Saccharomyces cerevisiae S288C: one gene and its partner. The main gene of each other region encodes a partner of the protein of the gene in region 2 in a complex. Each region holds a gene or a part of one and is shown on either strand. Other genes may lie near its edges. The genes, in order: BUR6 and NCB2.

Region 1 (11,293 bases), on a different chromosome or scaffold from region 2:
TTTTATCATCCTAGTTCAATGTAAAGATTTATGAGATTATTTAAAGAAGTTTTCAAAGTATTTGTATGATTAATAGTGTTGGAATAAAAATCAACTATCATCTACTAACTAGTATTTACGTTACTAGTATATTATCATATACGGTGTTAGAAGATGACGCAAATGATGAGAAATAGTCATCTAAATTAGTGGAAGCTGAAACGCAAGGATTGATAATGTAATAGGATCAATGAATATTAACATATAAAACGATGATAATAATATTTATAGAATTGTGTAGAATTGCAGATTCCCTTTTATGGATTCCTAAATCCTAGAGGAGAACTTCTAGTATATCTACATACCTAATATTATAGCCTTAATCACAATGGAATCCCAACAATTACATCAAAATCCACATTCTCTACAAATAGCCCTTCACCTTACATTGCACCACTGGTTGAACAGTCCATTTTTAAATCTCTCCCATTTTGTTATTGGTATAATGGGGCATGTAAACCTGTACGAGATCCCCAGAAATTACGATGTAAATACCTACATTGGTATTACAGTTTTTTATGTGAATTAAAATTTATCATCTTAAGATTATTACCACAGCACTATATTCTGAACATTATTCGAAATGATATAATTCAAATATTCCCTATCAGTATGTCCATAGGCGATAAAAATGTGATTAAGTAATTTTCGAGCCCCCGCGTTAAGCAAGCATCCATCAATAAAAACTTCATTAACACTCTTAGATAATCACTGTAAAAAATTCTAATTATCGGTTAAGGTTATAAAGTTAGGTAGCTGGTAAAAAAGCGATTGATCTCAGACATATCTTTTAAATGTTAAAACTCATCGCTCTTCAGGGAAATCTTACGCGCTATTTTTACAGTCGCGCGGGTCTTAACCATAATTTTTTACCGCTGCAAATATTTGAATGCTATAAGAGCAGATAAAAAATAGATTATAGAAATTAACCTGTTAAAACAATTATCCAAAATGTAGTAAGTATTTATCTTACGTAAAAAGTTCGATGCATATAAAATAAAATAGAATATATAAAGAGATACAACAGAGTCTCAAGAAGGAAAAAAGCTTGATGAACCCGTTATAAGTAGTAATGTGTATACTTAGCGCTATCCTGGTGAACGCGCATTTCCTTTCTTTTGAACTCATTCACCTCCATTTTGATTTCAATATTGGATATATTTTTTGTGGATGAGAGATTATTACCGACAAAAGTAGAAGGATTGGTAATGTCTTGGCTCTTTCCTTTAAAGAAATTATTCAAAAAGGTATTATCACACCTGCAATAGTCCGCGGCGGACCACGTATCGTTTACATAAATCTCATCCGCAAAGCGTAAGGATTTGACGGCATTTTTAGATTTCGATGACCCTGAAGAAGGGGCAGGTGTTGGCGAAGAAGATATGGATTGCATTGGTCCACGGGAAACCAACGATGACGAGGACGAAGAAGAAGGAGCCGGCGATGATATTGAAGAGTTTATGAACGAAGAGTTCGCAGCATCAGTAGTGGTAGAGAGAGAAGATGGCACAGAAGCAGTCAAAGGCAATTTGTTTAAATACACGGTAGACCATTCATCCTGCAAACGCTTTAAGAAAACGGTGCTCTTTTCCTCTGGAGCAATATCTTCATTAGACGAATCTTGACTACAGTAGTATAACTTTGTAGTTCGTTTATCAGACAGTGTAGGTCTGTTTGGTGACCTAGGGGGTGGAAGAACTGGTATCCTGTTATTATCTCCGAGTGCTGTCAATTCTTGTACTATGCCAGAGTCCTTAATTGAAGGTACAGCCGTTTCGTGATTGTTAACGGTTGAAAAACTCTGTTTTATAATTTCAACCGGTTGGTCAAGGGACGTTATCGGTTCTGGTACAACTCTCTCCGGATTTTTCCTTTTCTGCTTTGTTTTGCTATTCTCTTCTACGGAATCTGCAGAATTTGATGACTTGGACGACCAGATTTTCCTGAAGAAACGAGATATCTTTTTAGAATTTGATCTAATTGCCTTTGGAGACTCGGATTCAGATTTCTGATTAGCATCAGCAGCTTTCGTTTGTTGAGGAGAACGATTGTTCGTGCCAGTGGCAATGGAATCGTTATCTGCGGAAGATGGGCCTCCAGTCTGGGTCAAAGGCAACGATGAACTAGAAGGAGAGTCGGGAAAAGTCGAAGATGGCGGAAGCCTTGCTATCTGGTTTCTTGGCGTGAAATTTTCACCGTTGGGGAATTGAAAAGCGCTTTTCATCTGCTTTCTTTGTAATTGGAAAGGAGTAAGTTCCTTCCTAACACGTGGATTAGAATAGGTAGGCGGGGATGATCGGAGACTGTAGCGACTACCAGAGTACTTTTCGGGAATGGTCATTAAGGAGTGGCGTCTGGACGGGTTTGGTCTACAACGATATTGCGGGTGCGCATTGTGATCACTGGTAGTATGGTTGTTCATGTTCATGTTCATGTTCATGTTCATGTTCATATTCATATTCATATTCATATTCATGTTATCGTAGCGAGAGGGGCGATTTCTAGTTGAAGGCAGAGATGAAGTCGAGGAGGAAGCAAAGTTAGGTTTATTGTACTGGCGCATCGGTGCGCCATTACCATTATTGTCTGATCTATTAGCCACCAGAGTAGAGTGCCTCCTTGAGACGGTAGCATCCGGTATGTAGAACAGATCAATCGTAGACGCAGATCTAGCGTCCACAGCCCTAGGAATACTCAAAGAGTCTCTCCTTGAAGGAGAAGTGAGCGTGTGAAAATCATTACCATGCAAACTCCTCCTCGAGGAAGAACCCTGCTGTAACATGCTGATTAAGAGTGAGTGGAAGTAGTAGCGAGCGGTGGTGGCTATGTGTTTAGCCTGGTAAAATGAATCCTATTGTGTCAGCACGGAAAAAACAACAATAGCAATAATATGACAATAAACAAGTATTTTGCCGTAGCTCTCCTTCAGTTATTTGATGATGAGTGTAAACAGATTACTGTATATAGAGCAGTAGTAAAGAAAGCTGAAGTCAAGTGCAGATGAAAGACAAATACAAAAGGAGTACGCCTGTATTATATTTCCAAGTGCGTAATTTTGAGGTATTAATATTAAGTAATTATCAGAAGCAAGAAGCCAACAACCAGACCGCTTGGGCTTAAACTAGCATATCAGCACAATCTGCAAGTATACATTTCTTTGGTGTCTCGAACGCAACGCGGTGCAAACCGCGAGAACCTTAACGATTTTTCACACTCCTTCCTCCGTTGCTGCAAGAATCCTCGAGCTAGCCCTTCGTCCGCTTCCTTTGGCACTTGAAAGAAAAAATTAGCTTTTCTTTTTCCTCCTTTCTTTTTGTCTTTCTGGTGTAGGCACAGTTGGAAGGATGGGACACCTAAAAATCTTATTTAAGAAGTCACAGACGGTAACGCAGCGCCTCGTTTCTAAATCGTATAGCAGGCTGAGCGCCCGCACACCCACCTGCGGGAGTTACTCCGGGGATCGTATGGGGTGATGCATGCTCTTTCGTAAACCTTAAGAATAGCGTTAATTTTTTCCTAAATAGGAATACACATACTCATGCTATGTAACTGTAGAGAAAGGTACAGATTACATGAGGCGCCGGTTGTCGTTGATACATATGTGATTACGTTTCGTCCTTGATAATAGAGTATAATATATATGTGCAGACATATATAGATATAAATACATTGGTATATGGATATATATAGATGTGGTATTCATTTTACACTAAGTTACATCGCCCCGTTCTGCTCAGGCACTCTCTTCCTCCGGTTGTGTTTGGCCTTCTTCTACGCATAGACCTTCCCTTAAGAAATCGAATTTTTCGTCGTTTAAAATTGTTTTTTTTAGTATTTCGGCGGTTATTCTCTTGGTTCCTTGTCCTCTTGCCATCTCCCCGCTTTTTTTCACCAATAACGCTATAAAAAACTCTAGGGACCTGCCCGCTATTACGGGCGTGGCTTGTGAAACTTTTCCTATATCCTCGTCTGTCTGCATTATTTTCTTTACCTTGGCCGGAGGGAAGTGTGTCTTTATTCTGTCGAATACATCACCTAGCTCGTTGTTGTTATTCGAGTTGGTACCCATGTTACCTACTGGACTCCCTCCAGCATCAAGTGGTACCTCATGTTCAGGTTTTATTGGTGGTAGTTGTGTTGTAACTGGTACTTGATCTGCCATTAAGAATGTAGTGATGAGTACTGTAACTGGTTTTATTTTTTTTTTTGAATTTTTATTTTCGTGACGTGCTTTTTTTTCCGTTTTTGGTTTTAATGCCCCAAAATAAAATAATCCCCTTTTGTATACGTTTTTCTTTGCCTGCCTTTTTATTTCTCAGTGCATTGCCCTTTCTTTCGCAAATTCATGTGTTTTAAGGGTAATAGGAAATATCACGCTACCTGACAAAAAAAAAAAAAATTAATTTTGGCCTGGAAAATTCTTCTCCTTAAATACAAAAAGATTCTTTTTTATAGAATGTCATAATTCACGAACAGTTAAAAAAATATAAACACACAACGTAACACAGATGCCGGGTTACGATATCCGAAAAAGTTGATTAAAAGAAAAATAATCCTTCCCCGCCAGGACTTGAACCTGGAATCTTCTGGTTCGTAGCCAGACGCCGTGACCATTGGGCCACGAGGAATAGGATGTTCAGTGTGTTGTATTACGGGCTCGAGTAATACCGGAGTGTCTTGACAATCCTAATATAAACAGTCTTAGGGAAGTAACCAGTTGTCAAAACAGTTTATCAGATTAATTCACGGAATGTTACTTATCTTATATATTATATAAAATATGAATCATACTAAGTGGTGGAAGCGCGGAATCTCGGATCTAAACTAATTGTTCAGGCATTTATACTTTTGGGTAGTTCAGCTAGGGAAGGACGGGTTTTGTCTCATGTTGTTCGTTTTTCAATCCTTGCGTTTCAGCTTCCTCTAACATCGATGACAGCTTCTCATAACTTATGTCATCATCTTAACACCGTATATGATAATATATTGATAATATAACTATTAGTTGATAGACGATAGTGGATTTTTATTCCAACATACCACCCATAATGTAATAGATCTAATGAATCCATTTGTTTGTTAATAGTTTGAATGTTTTTATCGGAAGAGGTTTGGTCATTACGTCTGCAATATTCTTTTTGGTTTCGATATAGCATACGTGCAGATGATTTCCTGATACTTCATCTCTTAGTCTCATTGCTTTAGTACCAAAAAATCTGTTTCTAAATTTCTCTTCATTATTGGATATAATTATACTGATTGTAGATTTACTGTCGGTTAGTAATCCTTTAGTAATTGGTTTCTTGTTAAGTTCTTGCACAAGGTGACTGAGGTTATTTAATAATGGGACAGATTCACTTATCGCGTGTATTTCTGCTTCCGTAGTTGAAGTACATGTTAATGAAGCCTTGGTGGACTTTCCTCCAATTACTTTTCCATTAAGTAAATATATGTTGCCAATTTGTGATTTATAATACGGTTGGTTACCATACGATGCATCGCTTATAACAACTAATTTATTTGTTGGCTTAACAGGTTTGCTTTTGTGCCATATTAATTGCTTATCTCTCGTATTCCATATGAACTGTATCAATTCATATGTCATATCTAACACTTGCTTGGACGGAAATAGTATATGTTGTGCAAGTGTGTTGATGTAGTATAATAGGTCAAATCTAAATTTATATCCAACATATGATGCTAGACCTATCAGCTTTTGCATTTCATGTACCTTCATTTTGTAATCATCTTCTTCTAGCTCTAGTTCTTGCTGGTCTATATATAGACCTGGTTGACCTGGAGCGCTAAGTTTCCTTCCTTTTGGGTTCAAAGGTACGTTTAGTTTGGGTATTTTTTCAGTTAATGAGTTTTCCATACCTAATTTCATGTATTTACCTCTTTGATATTTGATTTCTAAGCCAAGTATGTCGTACTGAATTTCGTTATCACTTTCACCCAGATTTATTATCTTTGTATCGTATTGTTTCTTGAGTGTTGTTATGATTTTCTTATTTGCATTTAAGTCTTTGCTGAACAATATCATATCATCAACGAATAAGCAAATTGTTACTTGACTATTCTTAAATACGCATGACCATCCACGAACTTCTTCCATACCACACTGTTTTATCAGGTATGATTTGATAGTTTCGTACCAGTTCGCTCCACTTTGTTTCAATCCATAAAGTGATTTCTTCAAACGTATTAACTTATCATTCATTCCTAAATGTGGTGGAGGTCTTATGTATAGTTCTTCTTTGATGTCTGCATACAAATATGCCGAAGATATGTCTAATTGTGTAATATAGTAGTTATTGTCTAATGCAAGTGACAGGGATGTCATTAATGCATAGTGATGTACGGTATTGGATTGCATGCCTGGGTCGTAAGTGTCAGGATGTTGAATATCACCTCTTGCAACAAATCTAGCTTTATGAGTACCGTCACGTTTCCTGTTAAAGATAAACATTGAATTTATTACTCTTTTGGGGTCTATTTCTTTTCTGTCATAATATCTGTCAGTGTCCCAAGTTTTCATCTTCAACAGTTGATTGACTTCTTTGTGGTATGCCTGGATATATTTTTCTTTTTCTTTAATATCTTTATTATAGGTGATTGCCTCATCGTATCGTAAGGTTGTTCGTATTGGTTTGATTGATTTTACTGCTTTTACAGCTGCAATCAGGTGAATTCGTTTCTTCGATCTCGGAGGTTCTAAACTACGCATATTCTTAGTATTCCATGTGTCTCGTGATACCTTAATTTCAGTTTCATTATCTTCTAATGATCTTTTCTTACTGTTGATAGTAGTATAGGCATTAGAGTCACCAATACCACCCAAACTGGAATTAGTTTGATGAGAATTTATCGGTGGGAGTTCTTTAAAGGAGTCTGATAATTCGGTAGGAGGTTCTGGAGGCAGATCGGGGAGTGGAAGATCAGCGATAATAGATTCCTCTGTATTCTCCTTAGGACAGGTATCTGACGTTTTGATAGGAACGACGTGGTGTAGTGAATTACTTTCTGATGAGGAAGTATCGATCGAAGGTGAACGGTGTATGATCCTTTTCTCAGTCTCCTGTTCGCTTGTCTGCGGAACAGTTTTATTATTGGTACCACCCGTACTGGATATTGGTACGTTTGTATGATTAGTCTCATTGTCACTGTACGAGTCTGAGTGTCTGAAATCTTTAGATTTACTGGCGTGCGACGACTCATGTGTGTTAGATTGGGACATGGGAGCAAGTAAAGGAACATCTAATCTATGCATACCACCCGAACCGGTACTCTCGATATCGGAAATTTGGGGGGTGCTAGATCTCTTCTTAGATGGAAGAATATTAGATTCAGATATGTTGGGGTCAACTTCTCTGGGTGCGCGAATATTGGTTTTGGAAACACGTTTCGAATCTTCAGTATGAGTTGACGGAGGTGTGGAATCGGTTGGACTCACAGCTTTTGAAAGGACATTTCTCAGTTGCTCAGGATGTAGTTCAATGTCAGATTGGAAGTCATGGTCAGATTCTATGTTAAGATCATTGGATTGTTGGATCTCATTTGACGCAATGAACGAATGATATGAAGCAGTTAAACGGTTTAAGTCTTCATCGAAAGTGAGTGCGTCGTAATTGAATTGATCTAATCTGGATTCCTTGCCCTGAAGAATAACATAGTTAGTTGTATCTACTGTCTTCTTTAAGGACGGAAGATAGATGATATATCCATAAGAGTTTCGAGACGGATGTAGAGCGTAGCCTGGGATGCCACGAGGATGTATTTTGGAGTTAGGGTTGTGATCATTGACGATAACAGGTTGACCGAAAGGTAACAAAGTACTGATATCAAGTCCTGCCAAGCCAGCATGTTGTCTTGCAGATTTTTTGCTTTTAGGTGAAGCTAGTGAATTTCTCACAATAGTAGAAAATTCGATTGCAGAGAACCATAAATGGTTCGGTAAACCACTACATTGCAGTTGAGTACGGCAGTCATCTAATAAGGTACGGTTGAGCCGTTCAGCGACTCCATGTGCTCGGGAATCCGCTGTGGTTGTATAGCATGGAGTTATACCATTTTTTTCAAGGAATTTATGGAGAGTTCTGTTAGTATACTCAGAACCACGGTCCATTTGTATAACCAAGACACTGGCCTGAAACTGGTTTTTAATAAAAGCTAGTATCGTAGTAAAAACATCGAGGATAGAGTCCTCGCGACGGTCGTGTAATGGATAAACCCAACGGAATTTTGTTGTCTCATCAGTAAATGAGATGAAATAGGATGGTGCACTTTTTGGTAGGTTGTGAACTGGACCAAATATGTCAGTATGTAGGTATTGAAAGGGTTCGTATGAATTTTGGTATTTTAGTCGTGAACCTTTGATATGTCTGTGTTTGGTGCTTTTGCCGATTAAACAATCAGGACATTGATAGTCAATAGCACTAGACCAGTCGACATCTGATTCGTTAAAATACGTGATGGTGTTATTTTTAAGTGAGTATCGAATTGTCTGTGCATTGGCATGTGCAAGCATTCGATGAATGAAAGGATAAGGATATTTGCGTGTACTTTCACTTGTATGGACATTATTGATGGTGGGTACGGAGATATTTGATGGAAGCAAGTACTTTTTAGATACCCAGTAAAAGTCTCCATATTTTACGATAGGTGCAAGTACAGTGCCGTCAGACCGTTCTAAGACGTTTTTGGTAAAGCATGCTGTGATATCTACTGCAGCCAATTCATTCAAACTGAGTAAGTCATAGGCTATGTTAGGAGTGTGCAATACCTTTATTGATGTTTTGGTGTTGTCCTGGAAGTGAAATTGTAGGTCACCAATAGCGTTAATTGGTATATTTCTTTTTTGAGCATCAACTACGTTTATGTCAGGATTAGATGATGCTGAGTGTATGTGATGAGCAGATCTTATAAGGGTTCGTGATGCTCCTGAATCGAGAAGGAGGTGTCCAGGGAGTTCATCATCAGAATGATTAGTATGATTTACTGTAGATTCAGTAAGTTTCTGGCCTAAGATGAAGGTCGTGCTTATTGTTCAATTGAATCGGTTCAGTAGTTGATTTACTGATGGAATCGTTGTCCGTGCTGGGAGAGTTATTAGATGTGGATACATTGTGAGCCCTGGCTGTTTTCGATTTCGAATTATTTGTTTTTTGAGGATTCCGAGCTATAACTTTGGGTTTGGTTGTATTCGTATAGCTGCGAGAATCATTCTTCTCATCACTCGGATTTCTCCTGTAATTAGGTTTGCTGTTTCTCGATCCCTGTTGTTCTTCATAAATAGCATGGATATCTAAGAACAGTTCAGCGACTGTCATATTTAGATGTCGATGACGTGTGTAGCGTAAAAATTTATATTCGCCAGATAGACCTCTCATAATTAATTGGCATGCGACCTTGTTATTGATATGAATGCCATTATTGTTCAGTCTGTCGATAATGTTTGTGACTTTTGTTTCAAATGCATCTGCAGGTGTACTGCCATTATATTGCAAATTTGCCAGGGTCACAATGTCGTTTGCCTCTTGGGTATCAGATTGCATTTTTTCAATACTTTTGGAAAGAATTTTCATGATATCCGTATAATCAACGGATAGGATGTCTTTGACCCAGGTAGGTAGGAATTGAGAGGGAGCAAATATTTGAAAAGTGTTATACAAGAAGGTGAGTTCATCATCAGTGATCTGACGTACGGGTTTTCCGTTTACTGTCGGAATAATACCACCGAGATTCGAGTTTTGTAAAAATTTGATGTATGTTTTAACCCAATTTGGAAAATCATTAGGTGAGGTTAACATTGGTGGTGGTCTGACATATTTTTTAGTGGATGTCATATCAGAGTCCGCTGAGGATGAATCAGTAAATGTATTACCTGACTCAGGTGATGGAGTGCTCAGAGGCGTTCCAACTGATGATGGATACTGCGGAAACTGTGATTGTGGCCCAGGTGGAAAGTACATAGGCGACATTTGATAAGGTGTATACGGAATCATAGATGGGTGTCCGTAAAATGACCAACCAGATGGATTGGCTTGGTTTTGGGTCATCATGCACTGCTGTGGGTACGGCCCATTCTGTGGAGGTGGTACTGAAGCAGGTTGAGGAGAGGCATGATGGGGGTTCTCTGGAACAGCTGATGAAGCAGGTGTTGTTGTCTGTTGAGAGTTAGCCTTAGTGGAAGCCTTATCATATTCTTGAATTTTGGAAGCTGAAACGTCTAACGGATCTTGATTTGTGTGGACTTCCTTAGAAGTAACCGAAGCACAGGCGCTACCATGAGATATATGTGGGTAATTAGATAATTGTTGGGATTCCATTGTTGATAAAGGCTATAATATTAGGTATACAGAATATACTAGAAGTTCTCCTCGAGGATATAGGAATCCTCAAAATGGGATCTATATTTCTACATACTAATATTACGATTATTCCTCATTCCGTTTTATATGTTTATATTCATTGATCCTATTACATTATCAATCCTTGCGTTTCAGCTTCCTCTAACATCGATGACAGCTTCTCATAACTTATGTCATCATCTTAACACCGTATATGATAATATATTGATAATATAACTATTAGTTGATAGACGATAGTGGATTTTTATTCCAACAGTTTTGTTATAAGGTTGTTTCATATGTGTTTTATGAACGTTTAGGATGACGTATTGTCATACTGACGTATCTCATTTTGAGATACAACACAGTGGGCTAAGAATATACAACCGTTTTAGTCAATGTGTTGAAATATCATATTTTAATGCATTGCTCGAATCTCTTCCTTCGACTTACTTATATTGATTAAGGGTATGTATTTGATCCTTCCACCTGGAAAAACTGAGGACCTTACAGTGTTATTAAGTGTATGATGTATCACTGTCGTTGTAGTATTTCTCGGGAAGTTTTTCACTGGCAATTGGAGGTTGCTAGAGTTTCTTTTAACGCATACCCTAAACGCTTGTTTCTATTTTAATGACTACTTGAATCCTATCTAACTGGTGACACAATTTGTTTCATTTTTTAATATCTCACCTAATATATCCTAATAATATGAACATACCATAGCTCTTGTAAAGCTGGTCCATATTTATGTTTAGTTTCCGAATGCTTTTGTAAGGAAACGGGTTGTGGAAAAAAAAAAATACAACTACGTTGCCGCGAATCTTGTTGAAAAAGGTCTCAAATTAAGGCAAAAATGATACTGGAATTGTTAGTCTTGTATAATCGATCAACTGCAACAACCA
Region 2 (11,223 bases):
CAAGATGCATTCAATTCTCAAATATCGATCGGTAAAATATCTTGAACGTTCAATAAAATAATCACGGCCACCAAAATTCCATTGATCATTAACTATTGTGTTTTTCAAATTTTTCTCAAAAAAATCTGCAAATAATTCGTGATACTTAACTTCTTTGGTTACAATTGGATGTTCACTTAGAGATAATTGAGATTGGTCTAAAATATGATATACGAACCAGTTATTGAAAGAATTTTCATTCTCAACTGTTGTAACACACCCACGAATCTGGCGTTCGTCATCGCGTGTATATTCAGAAATCTTTATTGCCACTCCTAAATTATTGGTAAATTTATTTGCTAAAGAAGCTGGCAAAATTCTTTCAGAAACCCGTCCACTTACTTCGGATTCAGAAAAGTCCAGATTGTGAATAGTGTTGATAAAGTCGAGCCATTGGTCTCCAAATTTACAATTCTGTTTTTCCTCTAAAGAGTAAAAATCGTCACATTTGTCGCTTCTGCAATACAGGGCCAGAAATTTACTATATGTAGACAAATCGGCCCCATTATGGGGAATATCAATATCTTTCAACGTATCAGTCGATGAAGAAAATGAAGAGGCAGGTGGTGATATTGACTGCTCGGAGCTTGAGGGCAAGTTGCTAGTAAATGTCATTTTTGTTAATGTCTCGACAAAGCTTTACCGAATTAGGATATTAACAAATTGTTTATTTAGTCAAGACTTTGCGGAGGAGCACAATTTATGTGAAAATTTATTTCAATATTTATACATCATTTTTGATTCTGAACCTATTTTCAGAAATTGTTTTACAACATCGTAGGGCAGGCACTATGCCCTTGCAAATTTTATGATATACTGTCCACTGAAAGCAATGCAATCAAAATTCAAATAAACTCCTGAGGGGCCAATAATATAAGGATTTTTAGCACGCGACGTCTGGGATTGAGTGCCATGTATGTAAAGACGAGCAATTACTTTATGTTCCCTTATTTGTGAGGGGTTCCTGGTTTGCTTTTTTCGATCAATTCTCCTGATATTATTGAGTAAATTAGACAAATTGTTAGGAAACAACAAATTCCGATGCTTACTTACCCCTTAAATTTTCTCATTGCTCTTCATTGAGGTTGCATACCTCACCATATTTGTCATAGAAGGTCCCTTAAGGCGCCTTTTTATTTTTTCTTGGCAAGAGAACCCTTTTATTTATGGCCAGACGCGCGTCGCAAAAAAAGGTAAACATCAATAATTTTCCTTCCAGGGACTCTCAATAAAAAGACTGTAACTTGTATTATCAAATTGAGAAGCAATTACGTATTCCACCCCTCATTACTTCCCCGATACAATTTATTTTCACTTCTTTCGATGAATGCAGTGATTTCTATCTTTCCCGAAAATTACAAGCCACGGACCACAAGAGGAATGACTGGTCATCCTGATGCGAATAGTATATTAGGTAGTGCAAAAAAATACATTAATTTTCTTGAAATATTTTCGTTTTTTCAAAATGGTATTTGATTCAGACTAAGAGAATAAATCGAAAAAAGCATTAAAAATGGAGTTGTTAAAGCTTCTGTGTTTGATTTTATTTCTTACTCTTTCCTATGTCGCCTTTGCAATCATTGTCCCACCTCTAAACTTTCCCAAAAATATACCCACCATCCCATTTTATGTAGTATTTTTACCAGTAATATTTCCCATTGATCAAACGGAGCTATACGATCTTTATATTAGGGAATCAATGGAAAAATACGGTGCTGTAAAATTTTTCTTTGGTTCACGGTGGAATATTCTCGTTTCTCGTTCTGAGTATCTAGCACAAATATTCAAAGATGAAGATACTTTTGCGAAGAGCGGTAATCAAAAGAAAATCCCATACAGTGCTCTTGCCGCTTACACAGGGGACAATGTCATTAGCGCGTATGGTGCAGTTTGGAGAAACTACAGAAATGCTGTGACAAACGGGCTCCAACATTTTGACGATGCACCTATATTCAAAAATGCAAAAATTTTATGCACTTTGATAAAAAACAGACTCCTAGAAGGACAAACTTCGATCCCTATGGGACCTTTATCCCAGAGAATGGCATTGGATAACATTTCACAGGTTGCCCTTGGATTTGATTTTGGTGCTCTAACACATGAAAAAAATGCTTTCCACGAGCATTTGATTCGTATTAAAAAGCAAATATTTCATCCATTCTTTTTAACTTTTCCATTCCTTGATGTTCTTCCTATTCCTTCAAGAAAAAAAGCCTTCAAGGATGTTGTTAGTTTTAGAGAACTTCTCGTTAAAAGAGTTCAAGATGAATTAGTCAATAATTACAAATTTGAACAAACTACTTTTGCTGCCAGTGATCTAATTCGTGCTCACAATAACGAAATAATCGACTACAAACAGTTGACCGATAATATCGTCATTATCCTTGTCGCTGGCCATGAAAACCCGCAGTTGCTATTTAATAGTTCACTCTACCTTCTAGCCAAATATTCAAATGAATGGCAAGAGAAACTCAGGAAGGAAGTAAACGGCATCACTGATCCAAAAGGCTTAGCAGATTTACCCTTATTAAATGCTTTTCTCTTCGAAGTAGTAAGAATGTATCCTCCTTTGAGCACAATTATTAATAGATGTACTACCAAAACGTGCAAGTTGGGGGCGGAAATTGTTATACCCAAGGGCGTATATGTCGGGTACAACAACTTTGGAACCTCACACGATCCCAAAACTTGGGGCACAACAGCAGATGATTTTAAACCAGAAAGATGGGGTTCAGATATCGAAACCATAAGGAAAAACTGGAGAATGGCGAAAAACAGATGTGCTGTGACTGGGTTCCATGGAGGCCGAAGAGCATGCCTAGGGGAAAAACTAGCCCTAACAGAAATGAGAATTTCTTTGGCTGAAATGTTGAAACAGTTTCGATGGAGTCTTGACCCTGAATGGGAAGAAAAATTAACTCCCGCTGGGCCTCTTTGCCCTCTTAATTTAAAGTTAAAATTTAACGAGAATATAATGGAATAAATATAAAACATGTAGAATTGTATATATACGCATATATGTATACAATCGCGACAACTTTTAGTGAAACTTCTTTGTATCCAGTGAAAATGAAAGGAACAGAACCTGACCAAAGGTCAGTAGAAAAAAAAAAAGCCTTTTATAGAAGTTCTTATCCAATCGTTGACATTTTGTCTGCTCTATTTAATGCTTCAAAAATCTGATCCCAAAAGTACTGGATATTCAAATCGAGACCAATTATTGTACCAACATCACTGTCATTTGGATATTCTTTTTCAATGATAATTTTCCCTGAGTTTTCGTTGAAAACATCATCAATGCAGGATATGTCCATTCTCTTGTAGCGAAATCCAACCGCAGACGATGGATCCCACCCATAAAATTCCAAAAGCGGCATCAAAGCTACCGGATCATGTATAGGTGGGCCCGATTCAAATCCTTGCATATCCTTGTAGGTATGAGCAAAAAATTGAAAAAGCTCCAAAAACAATTCTCGTAACTTGCTGTTATTCTTTTCGTTGTATATCATTTCGTTAACCTTGTAAGTAGCTATGGCCTTGTGAGTTAAATTTAGAGGAACTACTATACATTTGTCCTTTACATCGGGATCACGGAATATGTAATTCGCTGCGTCAGGATCAATCCAAACGTTGAATTCAGCAGAAAGATTTGGGTTACAGTTTCCTAGACCATGGAGTCCACCCCCCATAATGCTAATATATTTGACAGATTTTTTTAGGTATGGTTTACACCTAAAAACTGTTGCTAATGTGGTAAGTGCACCAGTAGACACAAAGGATATCTCTCCATTGTTAGCTAGAATCGCCTCTTCAATGGCCTCAATATACGTTTTATCAGTTCTTGCCTCAAATGTTGGCTTAGGTAGCAAAGAAGTGCCGTCTAAACCTGATATACCATGAATGTCAGGAGCATAATGAGGTTCCCTTTTCCAAGGTCTCTGTGCGCCTTTATAAACTGGAATCGCTTGTGCTTTGCCCATCGCAGTCAAAAGAGAACGGGCGTTGTAGTCAGTATTCTCTGGCGGTGCGTTACCAAAACACGTGCTGATTCCTAGAAGATTGAAAGCTGGATGGAAACAGCCTAATAAAATGGCTATGGCATCATCATGACCAGGATCACAATCTAGCCATATGGGTATTTTACTAACAGTCATCTTTTCTTCAAACAGTCGCTGGTTATTGCTGTCCAACCCTTCCCCAACCTTGCAGATGAGGGAAATTATCTGTTTTAATAAGTTTCGTGAGGTAAAAAAATCAGCAGATTCCATCAAAAGTAGTTGTCACGTATGTGTCAAATATCGCGTTACGTGGTGGTGAACAGAGGGAAAACGTAATCGCGCCTCACAGGTTACCGGTGAGGCTAAGGGAATAAACTTTGAGATAATAATTAGTTATACGTATACATATGGTCGCAGTTATATGCGTTGTCTATTGTACAAATTCTGCTGTATGATTCAAGTTACTGAAGGATATGATATGTCTATCATTGCTTGTGTTCCTGCTCAGGAATAAAGATGTCATTGCCCTGTTCAATAGCCATTCTAGTATGGAAAACAATGTCAGTAGATTCCCATGGATATGCATACCACTTGTCTGGAACAGTTTTAGCTGCAAAATAACGGTTCTTGTCATTCAACATTTCGGCAGGCAAATCTGCTTTCTTTGGTTTTTGCTTATCGTGTAGAACAAAAATCCCGAAGTTTGTTTTCATCTCTGGAGACTTTTCAGTATCGATACCTTTAGCCTTTGCCTGTTCAGCTGCATCCTTTTCCAATTCACTCAAAGCGTAATGAAGTGTGGTACGGGTGTCATCGACTTCGTCAACGATAAGAACGTTCTTGCCGACTAGATCTAATTTACATTGCTCGTAATCAATCCATTGTGTTCTGCTAACCTTAACACCAACTTCCTCAACTTCTGAGCCTACACTGTTCAAATCTTCGTACAAAGACAAAATAATAGCAAAAATTCTGATGGTTGGCACGCCGGGCTCCTTTAGGAACGTACGTAGGATCCTAGCAGGAATGAAACCACCACCACCAATGGCAATGATTAAGTCCGGCTTGAAATTCTTAATTCTCTCAGCGGATACTTGACATAGTTGATGTACGTTGTTGTACGAGATGTATTGCTTATCGTTTGCCGACATTATGGGAACGTAATGGATATAATGAACACGAACGGTAATATAAAAATAAGAAAGATTACAAGGCACTACATCGTATTACTCCAGCTAGATGGAGACTAAAATAAAAAAGTTACGGCAAACCAAACTGCGAAGGGGGAACAAAATCTAACGGAAATTGGGCTTATCAAACATGTTTAAATAGAAAATTCTATAGCAGCTCATCGCTACCCGATTTGGGACAGATGGAGGGGGAAAAATTTTTTTTCCTTTTCTTTCCTAGTAAACGCGAAATATAGAGAAAAAAAATGAAAGAAGTCAGATAAGCGGAAATGATATTAATTGAAATTAATCTAATTAATTTTTTCAGAAGAAAAAAAAAATAAGTGACTCGGAAGGGAAATATGTACTGTCTTTTCTTAGTTAACCAACTATGGTTGTGACGTAAAAGTGGAGTGCTTGCTTGATGTTCCAGATGGCCTTACTGTTAACGATGCCAGATGCAGTTCAAAAAGGATAAACGATTGTGGGGGTCTTTTGACAGATCTTCTTCGCGTGGGATACTTTCGTGATCTTTTTTTTTCTTTTTTCTTTTCTTACATTATGTGGTGAACTCTATATAAGTATTTATGTGCCTAGAGATTATTTTTGTATTCTGATGCGTGAAAGCATTTTATGCATGATATCCTCTATTCCATCTCAACGTCACTATATCCGGCTTCCTCCTCGCCGTCGCTCTGCTCCGTTTCTAAACGGCCATCTTGCTTAGATGAGGTATGCTTCTGTTCCTCTTCGTTGTCACTATCACCTTCTTCTTCTTCTTCACTGCCATAAGATTCTTCACCGTCCTCTATAAGGCCGGCATCATCGAGTTCTTCGTTATATTCAACGTCGTCTTCGTCCTCTTCGACAACTGGTTCGGATGAGTGGATGTCGCCTGCTTCATAGTTCAAAGTTTTGAATTTATTTATAGTACAGTCTAACCTTGCATCCAGTGCTAGTAGCCTTGGTAATAAGTCGGAACGCCTTTTCAAGGTGGAATGTAACGACGATAGAGTAGACATCAAATTTGGAATAGAAACCAAATAGCCACCGTGTATGATTAAACACCATTTTACCCAAACATTCAATGGGCCTTGACGGTGGGTTTGTCTTGCAATCCTCTCTGCCAACCTTTCTAAGAGAATGACAGCCAGTGCTGGTTTCAGACGGAAGATAGTATCCCTAATGACCCTCTCGTCACGATTATTGAGCACTGTTTCCAACAGTGAATGATCATTTGATTGTAGTGCTTGCGACAGAATTACTGTTACCGTCCCGGTTGTCGTAGCAGTCTTGAGATTGGAACCTTTTAAATTTGTTTTTTTCCCACTAATCCTTGCGACGGTGCTTGATTCTAGCTTATCACCAAATGTTTCTGTTAATAGTTCATTGGCCTGTGGGGGCTTGGCCTGTTCTTGTTCCAAAGAAGTCAATTCTCTTTCCCAGCTCTTTATAGCGTCATCAACATGCTTGAAGTTATCTCCAGAGGTGACTCTTGCATTACCTTCCACGTAGTTGGTGGCTGAGGCAAGATCTTTACCGTGTAGATCGCGATCGGCGGACTTATTTTTATTATTCCAATTTAGGGAAATTTCGACGGTATATTCATTAGGGATTTCTCTCCACTGCAAGTTCTTGAAGTAAGGCATAGTAGCATTTTGTAACCACGATACGTTCAAAAGGTCTTTATTAATAAATGCGTTATAAATTGGAACTTTCCTGCCGTCTTTACTGACGATTTGAATCTTTTTGCTGGATTTTTTGGACTTGTTGCCTCTTTTCTTTGTTGAACTCGATACCAATGGATCAACAAAAATTTCCAAGCTACCATCCTCGGTAGTGACTGCGATAGAATCGGCTTGGCCTGAATGAGATAACTCCTTGATATCTGATTCAGCCACAAGGACGCATTTGGTCATACCGGAATGAATATCATATACGTTCAAGAATCTATCACCCTCTGCGCCTGATATGAAAAATTCATTAGTTATAACTTGCAATGTGGACACTGGAGATACATGACCGGGAAATGTCATTACGACTTTTTTCTCTTCGATGTCTATTAAAGAAATGGAATGGGATGCAACCAAAAGTTGTGCAACAGAATCGCCTGCTGGAACAATGGTTAGTTTATTCAATTGAACGCAGTTGTTTATTCTAAAATGTTGTAACAGTTTGAATTGTAACAGATCGAACTGATAGAATGCGTCGCTGGAGTCGATACACCACAGTTGATTACCCATCAAGTCTATGTCTTTGATTTCGTAAGAATTCCCCGTAGTGAATTTATAGGTGACTTCGTTGGCCAATACGGAATATAGCCAAATTTCACCGTTATTCATACCCAATATAATAGCCACTGTGTCGGAAGAAGCCAGGTTTACCCATTTTAAGCACGTCACCTTCAATTTCGAGTCCTCTAAATACAGAAAATTCTCATTCCACACTGTATCAACTCCGGAGGAAGTGGCCCTTTGAGTGGGCTGTACACCAACGCGTTGCTTGTCCAAAGCTACAGTGACATAACACAAATACTGACCTGATGGGTCATAAGCGGACTGTAGAACAGGAGAATCCATCGGTAATGAACAATTATAAGGCAAATGTGTCTTTTACCCTCTTGCTAAGCCAAGTTTAAACTATATATGCTCTGCATCTATCTTTACATACATATATCCTATCCAATACTTGTTAATTTTTTCACCTCATCGCTTCAGCTGCGAAAGATTAGAAAAAGAAATGAAAAAAAATTGGATAAAATTTTTTTGTCAAGAAGCTCATCCCCGTGTTAAATGACAATCAAAGAATAAGGGGAACTGTACAACACGTTCAACCAAAACTATTGTAAAGAAATGCCACCACTATGCAGCATAGCCTGTTCATGCGAATAGTCGCCGCAAAAATTACGATCTGGTTTAATCAGCTCGGGCTCTTATCTTTGGCGTATTCCAGTATGTGCAATTAACTCTTGCACCACTTTAAAACGCCCAGCCCGCTGCACTCTCCCTCCTATATAAATGGAAGCGGTTTTTGGTCGCGCTTTTCGCCCTCTGCTCGCCTTGTCGATTTCTATCGTGCAGAGTTACCAGTATAAGGTGGGCAAGAAATCATAACGATATTTACTAATACAGTTGTACCTATTAATTAATTGATGGCTGGAGACTCCGATAATGTGTCGCTTCCCAAGGGTATGTTAGTTATATTGTTGTTGCAAAACTCAAGCTTTGATGCGGGTACTGAGCGGTTATACTAACTTAGAGAAAACACTGAATGATCTTAGCGACCGTACAAAAGATGATATCTGAAATACTGGACCAGGATTTGATGTTTACCAAGGATGCAAGAGAAATCATCATCAACTCCGGCATAGAATTCATAATGATCCTGTCCTCGATGGCTTCCGAAATGGCGGACAACGAGGCTAAGAAAACCATAGCGCCCGAGCACGTGATCAAAGCGCTAGAAGAGTTGGAGTATAATGAGTTTATACCATTCTTAGAGGAAATATTATTGAATTTTAAGGGTTCCCAGAAGGTGAAAGAAACTAGGGATTCCAAGTTCAAGAAGTCAGGTCTCTCGGAAGAAGAGCTGCTACGACAACAAGAGGAGTTGTTTAGACAGTCAAGGTCCAGATTACACCACAATAGTGTATCTGATCCGGTTAAGTCGGAGGATTCTTCTTGAATAGAAGCTTCTAAACAAAGTAATGCTATATACGAAAATAAACCACATGGGAATATGTTAAGCGCATGCATGTATGTAATAAAAACGAAGACAAGTCCAAAAAAAAAAAAGAACGAAAAAGAAACAACTTTTATATTTGTATATTAGAGTATAAACTAATATCCTTATTTCAAACTATCACATTCCACTATTTTTTTTGTGTTCTCCTCAGTGTTGAGAAACAAATTCCAGAATTACCTGCAAGGAATCTCTCTTAGATTCATCCAGATAATTTATGATTTTTTCGTACTTACCGGCATCTTCGTTTTGCAAATTCTTGAAAAAGGTATGTACTTCCTGGAAAACATTAATTTGGTCTAACACTGTCTCCTTCATATCATCATCACATTCGATAAAGTATTCTTCTTCTTCTTCTGGGGTCAGGTCTCCTTCTAAGGATTTGCCCTCGGTAACAGCATCACGGTTTCTAATTGCCTTTGGCAATGATAATGTCAATTCCACCAGTTTATTGGTCAGGTTATTTAGTAGTGGGCTGACACTATTAGGAACTTCAGGCATCTTCAAAAGGGTTAAAATGACCAGGACTTGTAATTTGATGGCGAAGACACTGTAGAACTTTTCATTAAACCAATTGGTAAAGAAATTTATAGTAAAACCTTCATTTTCCATTATTTGTAAAGTTTCGATTGGTTTAGCAAACAAATTGGCCAGTCCCAGTTTAACGATGCATTTAGAGTCCAATCCTAGCTCATCATTAGTGGATACTTTGATGGCTTTGCTGAATAATGGAATGTCTCTCATGGACAGTGCGAAGTACATTAGAATTTGCATAACATGCTCGATGTCGTAGTCAACTTCACTTTCCAGTTTAGCAGAGAGAATTTCTAGCAGAGGTTGAACATAAGTTTGATCTTGTGGGAAGCCGGTCATCACGATGGTTTCAAAAAAAATACTGTAGGCCTCAAAATAGTCCATGGCATAAGTTTGGAAAGAATCCAATATATCATGTAACAACTCCCATATTGGTGGTGCAATTTGGTTATAAAGCAGATGCGAAGAAATAGTTAAAGCATCCAGTAAGTCGACAGCTTCCGTAATAAAAGAAATTTGTGCATGAAGTACAACAAACTTGACCACGGGAGCTAAGGACTCGATTAATGGAACTTTATTCATTGACATGACCATAGTAGTCATTGTTTGTAACAATCCACTGGCCTGGATTTCCTGCTCTTGGTCACTTGCGCTGTAGGTTTCCGATGGATTTTCTACCAATGCTTGAGCAATACGTAAAAATTGTTCGACTAGGTTTGAAGCTAAATCTTTAGCAAATGGGGATAGTTCATCTGAAAATCTCTCCACCAATGCTTCCATGACTTCAGATAAGATATCGATTTCAAAGATTTTAGACAATTTCAATAGCTTTTCCATCATACCTGGAACATGAGCAGAGACCGCTGGGTGGATTTGAGGATTGGATACAATTAAACATTTAATGGCATCTGCGGCCTCAATTTGGACTGGTAAAACGTTACTGTTTAAGAAGTTGGTATATGTTAACTCAAATAATTGTGACAATATGTTCATATCTTTAAATTCTTCCGAATACAGCGCTATCGTTTCCAAACTTCTTGCAACCAAAAACATGTACTTATCCTGCGATAACAATGGCACGATGAAGTGTCCAAAAATATTCTCCAGAACGGATGGCTCATCTATAAACGAAAACAAGTTAGACAATGTTCTCAAAGCACCCTCTTCTTTAAATGCCATGTTAATATCACTGGAATTGGCATCGAATCTAGTAAAAATATCATTAATGAACGGTAAAATATTGTTCAGTTTCTCAGGACGTTTGGACCCAATCAAGAATATGAAATCTGCTGAAGCAGCATCTGGCGTAGAGCCTTCTCTGTTAATGTCAAAATAACGCCTGGTATATTCCTCTTGGTCATCTTCTAATAATTCGATGGATTGTTCATTAGCACACAAACATGGGAAGATGACGTTCTCAAAAATAATTTGTAAATGTGGCTCAATTAAAGGATAAAGTTGATCTATTGTAACACATTTCTCTAGGAATGAAATTAAGAAATACAAAGAGGAATCGGATAACCATAGTGAATTATTACCCCAAGCTTCAATATCCTTAAAAAATTCTCGAAGAATTATAGGAACAATAGTATTGAAGATATAGTCGATAAATTCCTTGGTGATGGCCTTTGTAATTTTGTTGTATCTTTGCAGGAATCTGTTTAAGTTACCGAACCCCCATTTGTTCACTTTAACCCTTTTGTCTAGGGACCTATCTGCGGGATCCAGTTCCATTACTTCGA

What was found.
Region 1: NCB2 (region 2) and BUR6 share a complex: the UniProt entries of both Saccharomyces cerevisiae proteins name them as parts of the NC2 (negative cofactor 2) complex.

What each region holds. Positions count from the first base shown.
Region 1 is NC_001137.3:487,758-499,050, forward strand, and holds BUR6 (negative cofactor 2 transcription regulator complex subunit BUR6), read right to left. Parts: upstream 4,202-11,293; coding exon 3,773-4,201; downstream 1-3,772. Other genes in the region: YER158C (uncharacterized protein), read right to left, coding at 1,100-2,821; YER159C-A (gag protein), read right to left, coding at 9,045-10,367. UniProt on the Saccharomyces cerevisiae protein: Component of the NC2 complex which represses RNA polymerase II transcription through binding to SPT15/TBP and thereby inhibiting the assembly of the preinitiation complex.
Region 2 is NC_001136.10:1,264,033-1,275,255, reverse strand, and holds NCB2 (negative cofactor 2 transcription regulator complex subunit NCB2), read left to right. Parts: upstream 1-8,357; coding exon 8,358-8,394; intron 8,395-8,486; coding exon 8,487-8,890; downstream 8,891-11,223. Other genes in the region: DIT1 (Dit1p), read right to left, coding at 1-654; DIT2 (putative cytochrome P450), read left to right, coding at 1,553-3,022; URH1 (trifunctional uridine nucleosidase/nicotinamide riboside hydrolase/nicotinic acid riboside hydrolase), read right to left, coding at 3,171-4,193; HPT1 (hypoxanthine phosphoribosyltransferase), read right to left, coding at 4,523-5,188; UTP5 (Utp5p), read right to left, coding at 5,854-7,785; SXM1 (Sxm1p), read right to left, coding at 9,098-11,223. UniProt on the Saccharomyces cerevisiae protein: Component of the NC2 complex which represses RNA polymerase II transcription through binding to SPT15/TBP and thereby inhibiting the assembly of the preinitiation complex.